Arabidopsis thaliana: one gene and its partners. The protein of the gene in region 3 purifies or fractionates together with the protein of the main gene of each other region. This does not show direct contact. Each region holds a gene or a part of one and is shown on either strand. Other genes may lie near its edges. The genes, in order: CSY5, ATCS and AT2G12200.

Region 1 (6,386 bases), on a different chromosome or scaffold from region 3:
TTAACTCAAGTTGTTGAAAAGTGTGTAATGGAAGGCAGGTCCATAGCTATTTCGTCTTATATTTTTAACTATTTTCATTTTGTTTGTCTTTAAGAAATAGTATTTTATTAATGTTTTTTTACAAACCAACAATAAAACTGTATATTCACATTTTGTTTTTTTTGTGTATATATATAGAGACATATAATCCACAACATATGCATATCATTTCCCAAAACAATACAAGAAACCTGAAATCCAAAAAAGAAAAACCCAAAATCTTCGCTTCTTCATCTTCTTTTTACGTTTATATGGTGAGAAATTCTATGAAGGCTGAGTACGATATAGATCATCTTCCTCATCAAACCTTTTATGGTGATTATTCAAAAACTTTGGTTCCCATGAACAAGAACTCCCAAATAATAACCAAGATCAAGCCTAAGATCCGTATCATCCATATATTTGCTCCCGAGATCATCAACACCGATGTCAAGAACTTCCGCACACTCGTCCAAAGTCTAACCGGGAAACCGGAGATCACCAAAACCGGTTCTAAGAAAAAGATAACCAACACAAATTTTCCTGCGCCACCGGGTTTGCCTCAAGATTCCGGCCAAGAACATACGGCTGAACTGGACAACAGAATAATAGGGAGCCACGTGGTGAAGGAAGAATGGGGATCAAGTTCAAACACAAATACTTACTTTGATTTTGACGGTTTGATCGATCTTGATGAAGACGACAACATATTCTCAAGTCGATGGTTTGATCTTCAACAACAATAATTAGTTTGGTCACACCTTACCCTAATATGTAGGGTTTCTACTAATCGTAAGTCCTGTTGGTTTTGATGATGATTTGATCATTTATTCGATATGGAGCATAACAAGACATGGGTCAAGACAAGACCAAGGTTGAGACGATGATCATCTATATAGGTAGGAACATACATAACTTGTATATATGTACAAATGTTTGGATTTTTTGGGCTTGGGTGCCCTTTGATTTAATTTGTTAGACTGACTTAATTTACCAAGAAAGAGTGTAGTGATGAGTTTGTAGACTGATTTTGCCAAGAAAAAGTAAGTTTGTGTTTTGATCTCCGATCATGTGAAAACTCTACTTAAAAATGGTGTAACGTTGTACTCACGCGTGCGTGTGCAAGTTTTATATATAGAAAAGCGAGAATGATATTGTGATTGAATTTTTTAGATTGTTCATTTTTTTTCGTCAAATTATTTTGTTTGTTAATTCATATATAAGTCATGTTACTTACAACAAATTGTTTGATAAAACAAAAATGAATTCCATTAAACTGAATTAACGAAATACTATAATGATAAATGATTCTTACATGACTCTAAAAGAGTTTCGATTTGAATATATAAATGAATAAAGTTCTGTTTTATTGGCGATGTTCTTGATATATACCTTCAAAACTTTATGGCTAAATTACATTTTAACTTCTCAAAACGTTAGATTATGAAAGGTGGACTCACATTTCATAAACATTAAAATGATATGGTAATATGATTATAATGAGTTGTAATGGATATATGTCATATTTTTCCAATCTCATTCATTGAAATATCAGTTTATTTTTTGGATGACATAACGATCAATAGTGTCATATAATATGATATCCAATGTTTTAATATTAACTAGCTATAGCTATATCCATCATTGTTAATAGTTGTGTTACATCATTAAATAGTATTTCAAAAGAATATAAAAATTTCTGATAACTAATGGAGAATGAAGAATATCAAACCGCCCATTCGACCAAGAAATTATAATAACGAAGTTTATAACTTTTTTTTTCAATTGTGAAATGTCATTTTTACTTTATTTATTTCCAACAAAATAAAATTATGTTTTATCTAAACCCTTGGACTTTACCAAGAAGCTACTTTTTTATTTAGCAACAGCAAAAGCTACATACCATTTGTTCTTTATTTATTAATGACCGTTTTTTTAGGCATTAGAATCGTTACGGCTGCTTCGAATCTTGCGTCTCACGGACCGACGGAACTAACCAATCTCAACCGAACCCGAACATAACCTGTTCGTTTGGTTTTCTAAATGGTAATCAATTGGTTCATTATACCGGTTTGGTAAGAAGAATCCGTGTGTTTGGTTTACATATGTTGTAATTTGACGCTTGTTCATCACGTTGCAGATATATCTCAACATCTCTCAATTTTTCTCTCTACGTTGAAGAAACTTTCGAATTTCCCGTTAGTTCTTCTCCACGCTTTCTCTTTCCCTTTATCTCTTATCTGGTTAAGCCAATCTTGATTGTTTGGATTCGTAACCGATCAGTGTTGTGAGGTTTGAAAGAATGGTGTTTTTTCGCAGCGTATCAGCCATTTCAAGACTACGGTCTCGAGCAGTGAGTAGATTTAGCTTTCATCCTTTTTGTGTTTTGTTTGATGTGATACAATTTGATGATCAGATCTAATATAAGAAGCACAGGTGCAACAATCCTCACTTAGTAACTCCGTCAGATGGCTCCACTCTTCTGAATTGGTACTTTCTTAGGTTTTCATGTTCTCGTGATCATGCGGTTCAGTTTGAGAACCAAAAATTTGGAATTTTACCTTCTAGGTTTTGTGTTGATGTTGCTTAAAATGATGGTAATGCAGGACTTGAAGTCGCAGATGCAAGAGATCATTCCAGAACAACAGGTTTAGTTTCTACTTCGTTGTGATTGAGATTGTTTCTAATTTTAGGGCAGATTTCATGTAGAGATCAAGCTCTTCTCTCTGTTTTAGTTGATGTCATTTCTCATACACAAACACAACTTTCAACTTTCAGGACCGTTTGAAGAAACTGAAATCAGAACAAGGAAAGGTTCCAGTGGGGAACATCACCGTTGATATGGTACGGATTCTAATGATATTTGTGATTACACAAAGGCTTTATCTTTTAAACATACTCGTATATATAGTTTTACATGTGGTATTTGTGAAGGTACTTGGTGGAATGAGAGGGATGACTGGATTACTCTGGGAAACCTCATTGCTTGATGCAGATGAGGTATGGTTATAATTTTGATCACATAGATAATTTTCAGGTCAGATCTTGAATTAGAATTATATAACATATGATATTATCTTTTGTATCAGGGAATACGGTTTAGAGGCATGTCGATTCCTGAATGTCAGAAAATATTACCTTCAGCTGAGTCTGGAGAAGAGCCCTTGCCTGAGAGTCTTCTGTGGCTTCTATTAACTGGAAAGGTGTGATAATCTTAAAACATTTTATACATACAATAAGTTTCAACTTTATATATGAATGATCTAAAGTATAGTTTTCCCTCCTTTCGGTATAGGTGCCAACTAAAGAGCAAGCTAATGCTTTGTCAACAGAGTTGGCTCATCGTGCGGCTGTGCCAGGTTTGTAGTTCACCTCTAGGCTCTGTTTGTTTATGACCTCAGTTTCATGACTCATCAAAACTTAGCAAAATACAAGCTGATGATAATTATAAACTGGATATTATGATGTTGCAAATATAACAACTCTCCATTGCAGATTATATATACAAAGCTATAGATGCTTTGCCTTCAACAGCTCATCCAATGACTCAATTTGCTAGTGGTGTTATGGCCCTTCAGGTGGATTGCTCTGTTATGTACTATTTTTTTTTTCTATGCATTCTCTTAGAATTTGTTTATTTTCAGGAGCATCTTATCTTGTTGATTGTTATTCAGGTTCAAAGTGAGTTTCAAAAGGCGTATGAGCAGGGTGATATTTCTAAGTCAAAGTATAAACTTTCAATAGTTCTATACTTTGTTTCTTGATTGGCTTATAGTAGTAGGCATCATAGAAACTGAGGTTTCTTGTCAGGTACTGGGAACCAACCTTCGAAGATGCCCTAAACTTGATTGCTCGTGTTCCTGTTGTAGCTTCATACGTTTATCGGAGGTTAAATTTTAGGATCTTTTCCAATGCTTTTAGCTTCCTGGACTAGTTAATTTTCTTAGATTTTCCTTTCTTCAGAGTGTTATTTTTCAATGTCCATTCTAATTCACATTGCAGGATGTACAAGGATGGTAGCATCATTCCATTAGATGATTCTTTGGATTATGGTGCAAATTTTTCACACATGCTGGGATTTGATAGTCCTCAGATGAAAGAGCTCATGAGGCTTTATGTCACTATCCACAGGTTAGTCCTGGTTCTCTTCGTTTCAACATGTCTCATTAATTAGAATACATAAGCTAAAGTTTTCTTGTATATAATGATGATCTTCCTTTATTTTACCAACTCTTACCAAATTTCTATAGCATGATCAAGGTTTTTTTTTCCCTTGTCTACTGGTTTCTGTTTTAGTGATCATGAAGGTGGAAATGTTAGTGCTCACGCTGGTCACCTGGTATGTATTTGCCACATGATCTTGATGCATGATAATGTTTTGAACTTATAGACATTTCTGATGGTTCTGTTTTTGGCTAATGATGTTTCTTCACTTAGGTTGGGAGTGCACTTTCAGATCCATATCTTTCATTTGCTGCTGCATTGAATGGTTTAGCTGGGCCACTCCATGGTTTGGCTAATCAGGTATTTATATCCTTAATGAGTCTTATATTGTTCGAATCTACAAGTGTATATAACTTGAACTCTAAGATTGACTCTTAATTATAAGCTTAAACTTGGAATCTTACTCTGTTTTTTTTCGTTGTCTTGTTGTAGGAAGTTTTGCTGTGGATCAAATTAGTTGTTGAGGAATGTGGAGAAAGTATATCAAAGGAACAGCTAAAAGATTATGTCTGGAAAACGTTAAACAGTGGCAAGGTTGACAAAATTATGCTCTGCTTTGCCTTTTGAAACTATCCATATGTATTGCATGCTAATCATGACAGGCCATAACTTGAATTATTGTATAAATAATGAATAAAAGCTTCGGATTATGTTTTGATTATGGGGTTTGCCTGTGAATGTTGTCAGGAAACTTAAATAAACATTTGTCTTGCAGGTTGTTCCAGGATATGGCCATGGTGTTTTGCGTAAAACGGATCCAAGATATATATGCCAAAGAGAGTTTGCCTTGAAGCATCTACCTGATGATCCTCTTTTTCAGCTGGTAACTTTTTTTCCCCCTCAAATCTTTGGTCATGCTTTAAAATTTTACTGGCTCACAAATTATGCAAGTCTATAGGTCTCAAAACTTTATGAAGTGGTGCCTCCTATTCTAACCGAGCTGGGAAAGGTACTACTTATACTCATTCATTTCATGTGCTACCAGATTTTCTGATTTTCTCTGGTTTTATGAATCTTGAAATTGCTGTATCAGGTCAAGAACCCGTGGCCTAACGTTGATGCTCATAGCGGAGTGCTTCTGAACTACTATGGTCTAACCGAAGCAAGGTAGGAACTACTTGTGTATCGAGGCTTTGACCTTGTTTTGCTGAATCTTGGTTATTATAGAGTGACATTCCTTTCAAATATAGATACTACACGGTGCTTTTTGGCGTCTCAAGAAGTCTTGGAATCTGCTCGCAGGTACATACATACATTCATGCCATCGACAATTCGATTTTAGTACGTATCGCCATATCCTTCACAATAAAGTCAGACTAATCTTTTATTCCTTTTCTGTTTCAGCTGATATGGGACAGGGCACTTGGACTGCCACTTGAGAGACCAAAGAGTGTAAACATGGACTGGCTCGATAACTTCACGCGCTTGAACCGCTAAGTTAATCCCTGACTGATGTTGGTCAAGGTTCTCTCTTTTATCACTTCAGCCTTCTCTTCCATTTGATTGGGTAGCTTTTAGAGATAAAAAAAAAACGATTTTTCGTCGAAATTTTGTTCTACAGAGTTTTCATTTTGGTTCTTCTGCAAAAACAATAAAGTCAAACAAGTAAAGAAACAGTCTTTCTCAGATTGAGACACCATATTATTGTTCCTCAACTTTGATAGACAAATGATGACCATTGATATGTATTGATTAGTCTTTGGTGAATTATCGCATAATAAACAATACTCATGCAACCAGTCCCGCTCAAACAGAGTGTTTGAAGTGAACAGAAGCAGAGTCAAGAAATTCAAAGCCTCGGGATCAAACAGAAGCTTCCTCCTATCTTAAGAAGCTCCCTACGAAGCTTTATGATGATTCTACAAAACACATTTGCTATCTTCAGTGAACAGTAAGATGCAACGTGTTCTCTTCTAAACCTTCAGATATTTGGCTAAGTATAAGACTCTTCGTAATCACAAAAAGCCAGAAATGCGAAATTGATTTTGAGTCTTCTTCCTCACAAGTTTTCTCTAACTTTCAGAGGAGTCGCTGGATCCTGTTACCGAGAATTATTAGAAACCGAGAGCAGAGGTTTCTAGCTAGGACAGGAAATATATTATTAGAACATATCCTAGTCTTCCTTGTCATGGCCAGTCCAGTGG
Region 2 (7,057 bases), about 13 Mb from region 3:
TCAAGACCGACGTCAAGAACTTTCGTTCACTCGTCCAGAGTCTAACCGGGAAACCGGCACCGGGAGAAGCCAAAACCGGTAAAAAGAGAGCCAAATCAAGAATTACGACTCCCCAAGAACCGGTTTGCGATGATCATCAGCCGGTCAACAGGCTTTCGGGTTTCACCGGTTTACTAGCAAACGGAGGAAACCACCAGGTGAAAGAAGAGTGGGGATCAGGTGATCAGAGTACTTCGAACACAAACACGTACTTTGATCTAGAAGGTTTAATTCAAGATGTCGGAGAAGATTACTTCTCTTCGTTTCCCATGAGATCCTCTTCTTCTTCACAAGTCGAAGGTTTCATCTTCAACAACAACAACAACAACAACAACAACAACAACAACAACAACAACAACAACACCAACTTCGATACAAAGGCTCATAATTCGTCTTAATTAATAACAGATTAATTTCTAGGGTTTTCAATCTTATTGATTCTGCAAATCGCATTTGGTGAGATGAGATCTAATCGCAACGATAAGGTCATATTTTGTGGGAGAAAAAAGGCATAGAAGTTGTATATAGATATAACAAATGGGTATGATGAGAGACATAAACTTTTGGCGGGACTGACTTTGCCAAGGTTGAGAGTTGTGATGAAGAGAGTTTAATCTACGTGCAGCCCTTCTAGGAGAAGTGGCTGTATCTAATTAAGATGTGGTCGGTCAAAAAAGCCCTAGTTTTATTATGTAACTTCATTGATGTGCTATTATTGGATGTGTATTAATTCTTTGGTGTGCAGATAAATGTGATGATTGCTGTACTTTAATTTTGGGGAAAAAGTTTGTATGGAATTAGAACAAGGATCGACTTGTTTTCGATATAGATACTCTGATTGATTGTGTATATTGAATATCGATACTTACATAACGGTTATTCGGTTAAAGTACAGTTACACTAATTAAATTAAACTGTAAGTTAACAAGAATATTCTGGCTCAAGCTAAATTATTTTTTTTATTATTATTGTTTACTAATCTTTTGTTACAAATGTTGAAAATGATATTTATTATACATGTAGTACTTCAACTAAAATAAATAACGTGTTTTCATATTTGATGTACGTGTATAATATATCATTTTCAACAGTGAGTAATATTAACCCTTTTATCAAAATAAAGTAAAACAAAATGATATAACCTATCAACAAAATGCAAAGAAAATTGATCCGAACCGAATATAGCCGTAACGGTACACCAAAATTGTTTTGAGATTTTAGTGTCCGTTGACCTTTTCATATAAAGCCAAATTATTCGGTCTGGTTTCCAAAAGAACGAAAAGGTATATGATTACGGTTTACTCCCTTGCTTCTGTGTTTTGGTTTAGTTTGGTTTACCTTCTCAAAGTTCTCGAACGTCAACATTTATTTTATCTTATTTTGTAAGGTTCTGCACATGTTATACTTATTAATTAGTCTACTTTTTCAGGCATTGGGATTATTTGTTTTAGTCTAAATCGGTTTTGGTTGCATAATATTGGATGAAAACATTGTAAAGGACAATTTCAAACCTGACTTTTCTAGATTTGGAAACGTTCCGGCTGCTTGAAAAGCTCACATAAATATTAGTATGATTTCTTAAACCAAAAATAAATGATGATTATCAACAATACCGTAAATAAGGCAAAGGAAATAAATGATGATTATCAACAATTGCCGAAAATAACCACACCGGTACACCGAAATTGTTTTTGAGATTCATAAAACCGGAATAATACGCCTAAAGGTTATTTTCTCCAATACCGGTTTAGTTTGGTTTGCCTTCTCAAAGTACTCGAAGGTCAAAATTGGAATTTAGTAATAAACCTGCTCCAGCTATATACAAATGTCATTTGCTCACCTTTCGCCGATTGATTTTGTACATCACACGCAGACGCAGCTTTTAGTATTTTTTTCAACAATCGCTTTTTTTTTTCTCGATCTCCGTGAAGCTCTCGAATCTCTGGTATGTTTCTTCGCTTCTTCATAGTGTTTCTCATTTCCTTTTGGTCTTCCATAATTTTCGGAGAATCTAGTCCTGTTTTTCTCTTCTTCTGGAATCTGAATTCGCCGGTGAATTCCGCTGATCGAATCTCTGAGTTTTGTTGAATTATTTGATTCGGCGATAAAACTTTTTTTGTTTGTTTCTGATTTTGGTGAGTGTTGATTGCTTGAGTTTTTTCACGGATCGATTTGTTTTGAGAATTGGGTGGATACTGTCTGTCACAGGTTTTGAGTTTTGGAGAATGGTGTTTTTCCGCAGCGTATCGGCCTTTACTAGGCTGAGGTCTCGCGTCGTAAGTATTTGAAAATTTTGTTTCCAGTTTTGTGTTTGTTCTCGTTTGATCTCGCTGGTTCATGCTAATCGATTGATTGGTGATCGAATCTATGTAAGCAGGGCCAACAATCTTCACTCAGCAATTCTGTCAGATGGATTCAGATGCAGAGCTCTACCGACCTGGTAAATCATCTCCGTTGCTTCGTACTTTCGTGTGTGATCGTGATCATGTAGTTTTCATGATCATGATCATATGTAAGTTTAATATTGGTTTGGGATCTGCTGCTTGTGGGGTCTTTGTTCATTTTGTTTAAATGGTGGCAATGCAGGACCTGAAGTCGCAGCTGCAAGAGTTAATTCCGGAACAGCAGGTTAGATTAGACTCTGTTTGCTTTAAATGAAAATTTGTGTTGTTGACTTTTTTTTTTCATTGAATGTGTGTATTATTTGTTATGTTAGCTGAGATTGTTAAGTTAAGAAGGCAGGCTAGTTGTAGTGAATCTCTTTGCTTTTCTAGTTTCCTCTTTTCTCACAAGAATTTTCCAATTTCAGGACCGTCTGAAGAAACTGAAGTCAGAACATGGGAAGGTCCAACTGGGAAACATCACTGTTGATATGGTAGAAACAATCATGATTTTCACGTTTTTGGTTTGTTTATATGATTTTCACCTTCCATTGCATAACTCATCATAATCCCCTTTGAAATAAAGGTTATTGGTGGAATGAGAGGGATGACTGGATTGCTTTGGGAAACCTCATTGCTTGACCCGGAAGAGGTACTGTATAACTCTCTGTATATAGTTACAATAGCTTGGTTAGATCCTAGATATAGAATATATCAAATGCTCCTCCTTCCTGTTCTAAGGCTGTTGATGCAATTATCTTATCATTATTTCAGGGTATTCGCTTTAGGGGATTGTCGATTCCTGAGTGCCAGAAAGTATTACCTACTGCCCAGTCTGGAGCTGAACCATTACCGGAGGGTCTTTTGTGGCTTCTCTTAACTGGAAAGGTGTGGCTCTTCTGTACATTATTATAAGTTGGTTCTGGATATGTCCAGTCGATTAGTTTTCCTCAATAGATTATCTTATGATATCCTTTTTTACCCTTTTTCGTATAGGTACCTAGCAAAGAGCAAGTTGAAGCACTGTCGAAAGACTTGGCGAACCGTGCTGCTGTGCCAGGTTTGGATATTACCTTTTTCGCTCTGGCTGTTGCAAATAAAGGAGTCTGTTTATTGGCTCATTCAAACTTGTTTGACATCAATGCTTACAAGAAATTGCTTAACAGAAATGAAATAAATTTGTGGGTTTTGTGTTATACTTTCATTCATTCTTAACTTGTATCCAATTTTTATACAGATTATGTGTACAATGCCATCGATGCTCTGCCTTCCACAGCTCATCCAATGACTCAATTTGCTAGCGGTGTTATGGCCCTCCAGGTGTGGTTCTCTAAACTCGTATTGTTGTTTCTGTTCTTCTTGTGATAAGCGTTGGAAACTTATTGTTTTTTTTGGCTATAAGTAAACAATTTTCAGCAGAATGATAATTTTCTTTACCTAATATCCAGGTGCAAAGTGAGTTTCAAAAGGCATATGAGAATGGAATTCATAAGTCAAAGTATGCTTTTGGGGTTCTGATTTAGTTCATGATAGCGTTTCATATTAGCTGGCATCATAACAAAGATTTTTTCTTCCAGGTTCTGGGAGCCAACATATGAGGATTGCCTCAACCTGATTGCTCGTGTTCCTGTTGTAGCTGCATATGTTTATCGAAGGTTAGTGAAGACTCTTTTTGTACTCTTTTTCATGTTTCTTGTAGCTTCTGGATTTTCGGCAATGATTTTTTTTTTATTGGAAAATTTGCCATCTCTTGTTTTTGCTTTGTATTGACTGTTGACCTTTTCCATGCATCATTGCAGGATGTATAAGAATGGTGATTCCATTCCCTCAGATAAATCTTTGGATTATGGTGCAAATTTTTCCCACATGTTGGGATTTGATGATGAAAAGGTGAAAGAGCTCATGAGGCTTTACATCACCATCCACAGGTCTGTATTAATTTTCGTCACCCATGCATGTCTCCTTAAATAAGCTTAATTATCTTGTAAATTTGTTTGTTCTTTTTAAGACTTTAAATAGACCTTTGTATAACATTTTGCTTTTCTACTATTTTTTGCTCTAGTGATCATGAAGGTGGAAATGTTAGTGCTCACACTGGTCACCTGGTATGTATATACTCTCCATGTGTCAATTTTAAAGGATTGACCTACCTGAAGTTTCTAATGGTTCTTTTGCTAAAAATTCTTGTTCATGTAGGTTGGTAGTGCACTTTCAGACCCATATCTGTCATTTGCAGCTGCATTAAATGGTTTAGCTGGGCCACTCCATGGTTTGGCTAATCAGGTATCCTCCCTTGTCTATATCTTGAATAAGTCTTAAATCTTCAATCTACAATAGAGCTTCGTAAGTGGCTTTTTGTATTTTATCTAGGTAGGTTGTGATAGTTTGATGATACAACCATAAATTGGAGAAAACAAATTCTTAGTCTTTTTTTATTATTGTTTCAACAGGAAGTTTTGCTTTGGATCAAATCAGTCGTAGAGGAATGTGGAGAAGATATATCAAAAGAACAGTTGAAAGAATATGTTTGGAAAACATTAAACAGTGGCAAGGTAAAAACAGGAAATTCCTCTGCCTTGACATTCTTTACTTTCTGGTCTTGTACCTGAATCCCACTTTTGAAGCCAGCCAACAAGACTGATGGAGCATGCGAAAATGAATTAACATCTTGTCTACTAGTCATCATAATAGGCTAATATTTCAATTTATTGTGTGATACTGTTATGGGTCCTCTTATTTACGACCTCATAGTTTGGTCAGTTGCTCTAACTGCTCCTAGTAAGTAATACTGCCATAAGAGCTTTGGATCCTGTTTTTCCCTATCCTAGTTTACCTTGTGGATGTAATGTTACAAGGATAGTCTAATGATGATCTATTGACGAGTCTTGTTTTGTCTCTAGGTTATTCCGGGATATGGTCACGGTGTTCTGCGCAATACTGATCCAAGATATGTATGCCAAAGAGAATTTGCCTTGAAGCATCTACCTGACGACCCTCTTTTCCAGCTGGTACTTTTTTTCTTTCTCTTTTCTCTTTTCTGTTCGGTTCTCAAAATTCTATCAATGTTCAGTAGCTAACAAAATCCTTCCAACTCTGTAGGTGTCAAAGCTTTATGAAGTTGTGCCTCCTGTTCTCACTGAGCTTGGAAAGGTAGTATCTCTATCCTTCGTTTACCATGGTGATCCTTCAATATTCCACCAACAACTCCACAACACCTTACCTACATGCTAGGGGCTTATGAATCTCTTGCGAATCAATTTTTTATTTACTTGCGAATCCGATGATGGCTTGTTACAGGTGAAGAACCCGTGGCCAAATGTTGATGCTCACAGTGGGGTCTTGCTGAACCACTATGGTCTAACCGAAGCAAGGTAAGAAGTAGACACCTCCTTCAAGTATCATTGAGCCTTAGGATAGCACTCAAATATAATATCTGTGCGTTTTATAGGTACTACACCGTGCTCTTTGGTGTTTCAAGGAGTCTTGGCATCTGCTCTCAGGTAACATATATATATTTACACATTACGCCTTTGTTACTACATAACATTTAAAACAGAACTCATATGCTCTCCATTCTCATTTGTGTTTAATTCACAGCTTATATGGGACCGAGCTCTTGGACTTGCACTTGAGAGGCCAAAGAGTGTTACCATGGACTGGCTTGAAGCCCATTGTAAGAAAGCTTCATCTGCTTAAGTCACCACCGAGTCCTGAGTTGTCGCACTCTCTCGTGTTTCAACAAAAGTCATTCTCTTCCACACTGGATAGCTTTTTTTGTTTTTACCTTCTATTGACAGAAGAAACATTTGTTCATGTAGAAATTGTTCCTGAGAAACACATGCTTGGTGCAAATTTGCATTTCCGGGAAACTCGTGATAATAAATAAACAGTTGTATTCAGTTTGCGTAAAAATCAAACATCAATATCACTCATGAATTAAAGCTTATCTTGGTTTTGATATACATAAAAGAAACAAGACTGCAAAATAGAAAACTTCGACATGAGTTTATCAAAAAGAAAATGGGATTAAGAGCTGCTGGTATTGTCGGTAGTAGTCTCCTTGTTAGAAAGGTCATCATCATCAGCAAGAGAGGCTGTGAAGTTGAGTCTCTCTTCGGCGCCGGCAGTGATAACCGGCATCCAAACATCAGCTGTGCCGCTAAGAAGCGTCTGAACCTGTGGATCAGAAGCTATAGCTGATGATATCATCTCATCCACATCATCTAACTTTGCTGATAACTTGTCCAATTCCTTAGCTATCTCCACCTGAAAACACAAACAATCACACACAAAGCCTCAGATTTACATTACAATGTGTACCAGATATATGAGTGAACACAGGATACAGACCTCATTGAGGTGTTGAGCAGACTTTGATGGCACTTTAGTGACTTCTAAACCAAGAGCTTCAATCTTAGAACGTAGCTCAACCTCTTCTGTATTTGTCAATGATTCTACCTAAGAAACAAAAATCATCAGTAGGCAACAAAATCATCTGTATTTGTCAATGTTGTAGTAACAATTAGTGTCCATTAACAACAATATCAAAAAGCTCTTGCCCTTTTATTTTTTTGACGAATTAGACAGAAAAAGGGAAATTTGACGAATAGAAGCGGCTCGTAATTGAAACGAAAATC
Region 3 (2,823 bases):
ATTTCTTCTTTATCTCCTTTAGACGTCGAACTGCGAGGTCATTGCCCAGTCCTCTGCAGTTCCAAGCGGCTGTCCTCATGGAGGAAGAGGGGGTTCTGGGCCCACCGCGCCTCTCCCCACGTCATTCGGCTGAACCGTCTCTCCGGAGCAACCACTGCTTTCCCCAGCCTCACGGATCACCATCTTAGAAGGCTCGTGTTCTTCATCTTCTTCGATGGTGTCCTCTCTCTTGCGTTTGCCCCTATCCGCTGCCACATCCTCACGAACATAGTCTCTGTTCACTCCATTATTTGTTTCCATCTCTCCATGGTACGTGGAGTAACGACATGGCTCCCAATCCTGGAAATCTTCCACGGCTTCATGATGGGCATTCATCACTAATGAGAGTTATTTTATTTATTATTGTCCACGTATTTATTTTGTTTTTAATGTATTTTTTTTTTTTTTTGCCTTTTACAGTTCCTAATCCAGATTTAAATCTGGATATAACCCTATAAATTATAAGATATACTCGTCCACATAATATTATCAAGTTTTTTAGTTTTTTAGAAAATAAAAATCTATTCTAAAATTTGAGAAAATCAAGTGAGATAATTTTGTGCCTCACAAGTCACGAGATTACTTAGCTCGGAAGGGTTTTGGGCTCTACGTGTGAAAGGCATAAGATATTTTAGTTACTTTTATGCTTTACAATTTACATTACTAGAGTACAAACAAAACAACAGCTATCATGGATTTTTATGACATCATCAATTTACGTGTGTCATTTGAGATTTATAATCTTTATTTTATTATCACTTCTATTTTGTTTTAATGAGTTCAAGATCTTTTCTTGAAAGACATATGAAGACTTTAACCCAAAAAGCTAAGTATTGTCTTTGATGAAACTTTGAAATCGAGAAGTTTTCAAAATTTTAAACGATGTCAACCAGTATTTTTTATTTATAAAACAGTATTTTTCTCTAAATATTTGACAAGATTTTTTTACCCCCGCATTAGCTAAAACCCATTTTCGTACATATGTTTACAAACAGTGTCCGCTCAACAATTTCATGGGTGTAGGATAATTTTTTTTTATATTTTGTTATAAAATTTTTTGTATGATAATTTAGTTAACAAAAAAAAAAAAAATGCATTAAAAAAATTATAGGTCCATTCTAAATTTTATTTTTGTGTTATATCTAATTTTTAAAAATATTTTTTAAAAAATATATGTCCCTTAATTGTTAAAACATGGGTTTGGATTCTTGGCTGTCGCACCGCTTGCCCCTCTATTTAAACCGGCACTGTTTACAAATTAAACATTATAGAAAATAATTCTTAAAAACCGGACTAAGTAATGAAAATTTTAAATTACAAAAACGAAGAATACTAGGAAGCTAGAACTAGGGAAGAAAACTTGAAGCACCACATTAGTCAAAGAGATCGAAGAAAGAAGCCATTCTCTAAGAAAATTTACCATTAAGATTGACTATGCACTTTATTTAAAACACTTGCCAATATATCTTTTTCAAAAGTTTTTTTTTCATAACTCATATTAAGACTTTCATCTTCAAATTAAAGGGGGATGAGCTTTCCGGATGATACTTAGACCTGAGTTGAGTCAAAATCGCATCTCCCTACAAACAAGTTCATCATAAACCAGTCGTAGGGTCCAAAGACTTTCACGATCCATTAAACTGACATCTTAGTGTTCAAAGATATTTTTCTTGGTGTTCTAAAACATATATCTTCTGAACATGGCTCAATTGTGACTCCTCTCAAGAAAATTTAAAGGACTTGGGGGAGGACTATATTATTATTTTTAGTTCCCCTTAAATATCCACATAATAATTACTGTTTGTTGTTTTCTTTTTAATTCAAACATACACCATTCCAAAGAGACCTTTGATAGTTTTCTTTACTAAAATATTATTGAAAATTACTTATAAGATTTATTATTAACATGTTTTAGATTGAAAATTGCTCATACAGGCACATAAACAGATTGAGATGTACACACAACAAGGCTTCTCGAATCTTCCCATATGCATGTCGAAAACGCAGTACTCATTCTCACATGATACATCAAAGAAAAGAGCACCTTCAGGGTTTGTATTGCCAATTCGGGATGTTAGAGGAAGCATTGGAGCTGGTTTCATATACACTACAAAAAAAGTCCTCATTGATAGCAGTAGAGGATAGCTCATTTTCCTCAACTGCTATAAAAGATGAATAAAATTTTTGGTTACTTTTTAATAGCACCTTATAAACGCTAAGACCGTAAATCCTCTAGCGGGAATGTAAAATACTTTAGTCCGCCAACACTTAGGTAAAATTATTCACTTCAGCGCCAACACTTAAGCAAAACTATTCACTTCCCTCTACAGCTTCGTGAAAACCTAAGAAAATCGAGAAGACCAAAATTATTCACTTTTGCCTTAGATCTGTCGAATCCACTCCCAAAATCGATTCAACCTAAAAGCTAAGATCTGTCGCTGGCCAGAAATTCGGATTCTCCGCCGCCACATTCTCCAGCTCAGCCACCGTTGAGCTCAAATTCAAGGTTAGTCTTTCTTCCTTATTCCTTATTAATCCATTTCAGCTTCCATCTTTCTCGCATTTTGACCTAATCTCATAGAATCGACTTTCATTTTGCAGCCACCAGTGAGCTCTAACCTTGTCGCAGCCACCAGTGAGCTCTAACCTTGTCGCAGCCACCACTGAGCTCAAAATCAAGGCATGTCTTACTCTCAATTTGACCTAGTTCTTTGTGACGATTTGATTTTGGGGTTTATATGCATCGATTTGTTATATTTAGGGCAATGTGATTTGAATGGAATT

The links.
Region 1: the proteins of AT2G12200 (region 3) and CSY5 fractionate together in Arabidopsis thaliana (co-fractionation; one large-scale study listed by BioGRID). This does not show direct contact.
Region 2: the proteins of AT2G12200 (region 3) and ATCS fractionate together in Arabidopsis thaliana (co-fractionation; one large-scale study listed by BioGRID). This does not show direct contact.

The regions. Positions count from the first base shown.
Region 1 is NC_003074.8:22,190,568-22,196,953, forward strand, and holds CSY5 (citrate synthase 5), read left to right. Parts: upstream 1-2,162; 5' UTR 2,163-2,320; coding exon 2,321-2,371; intron 2,372-2,454; coding exon 2,455-2,508; intron 2,509-2,624; coding exon 2,625-2,666; intron 2,667-2,796; coding exon 2,797-2,862; intron 2,863-2,952; coding exon 2,953-3,018; intron 3,019-3,107; coding exon 3,108-3,221; intron 3,222-3,313; coding exon 3,314-3,377; intron 3,378-3,513; coding exon 3,514-3,596; intron 3,597-3,692; coding exon 3,693-3,745; intron 3,746-3,828; coding exon 3,829-3,906; intron 3,907-4,020; coding exon 4,021-4,149; intron 4,150-4,314; coding exon 4,315-4,357; intron 4,358-4,455; coding exon 4,456-4,542; intron 4,543-4,674; coding exon 4,675-4,776; intron 4,777-4,957; coding exon 4,958-5,065; intron 5,066-5,140; coding exon 5,141-5,191; intron 5,192-5,275; coding exon 5,276-5,349; intron 5,350-5,432; coding exon 5,433-5,484; intron 5,485-5,586; coding exon 5,587-5,679; 3' UTR 5,680-5,880; and 1 more. Other genes in the region: AT3G60090 (VQ motif-containing protein), read left to right, coding at 291-764.
Region 2 is NC_003071.7:18,314,409-18,321,465, forward strand, and holds ATCS (Citrate synthase family protein), read left to right. Parts: upstream 1-1,869; 5' UTR 1,870-1,984; intron 1,985-2,011; exon of another isoform or gene 2,012-2,174; intron 2,175-2,247; 5' UTR 2,248-2,264; coding exon 2,265-2,315; intron 2,316-2,413; coding exon 2,414-2,479; intron 2,480-2,625; coding exon 2,626-2,667; intron 2,668-2,848; coding exon 2,849-2,914; intron 2,915-3,006; coding exon 3,007-3,072; intron 3,073-3,194; coding exon 3,195-3,308; intron 3,309-3,416; coding exon 3,417-3,480; intron 3,481-3,657; coding exon 3,658-3,740; intron 3,741-3,868; coding exon 3,869-3,918; intron 3,919-3,997; coding exon 3,998-4,075; intron 4,076-4,219; coding exon 4,220-4,348; intron 4,349-4,482; coding exon 4,483-4,525; intron 4,526-4,616; coding exon 4,617-4,703; intron 4,704-4,870; coding exon 4,871-4,972; intron 4,973-5,320; coding exon 5,321-5,428; intron 5,429-5,519; coding exon 5,520-5,570; intron 5,571-5,717; coding exon 5,718-5,791; intron 5,792-5,868; and 5 more. Other genes in the region: AT2G44340 (VQ motif-containing protein), read left to right, coding at 1-437; AT2G44360 (ecotropic viral integration site protein), read right to left, coding at 6,447-6,686, 6,771-6,878.
Region 3 is NC_003071.7:4,898,659-4,901,481, forward strand, and holds AT2G12200 (P-loop containing nucleoside triphosphate hydrolases superfamily protein), read left to right. Parts: upstream 1-1,954; 5' UTR 1,955-1,992; coding exon 1,993-2,157; intron 2,158-2,259; coding exon 2,260-2,286; downstream 2,287-2,823.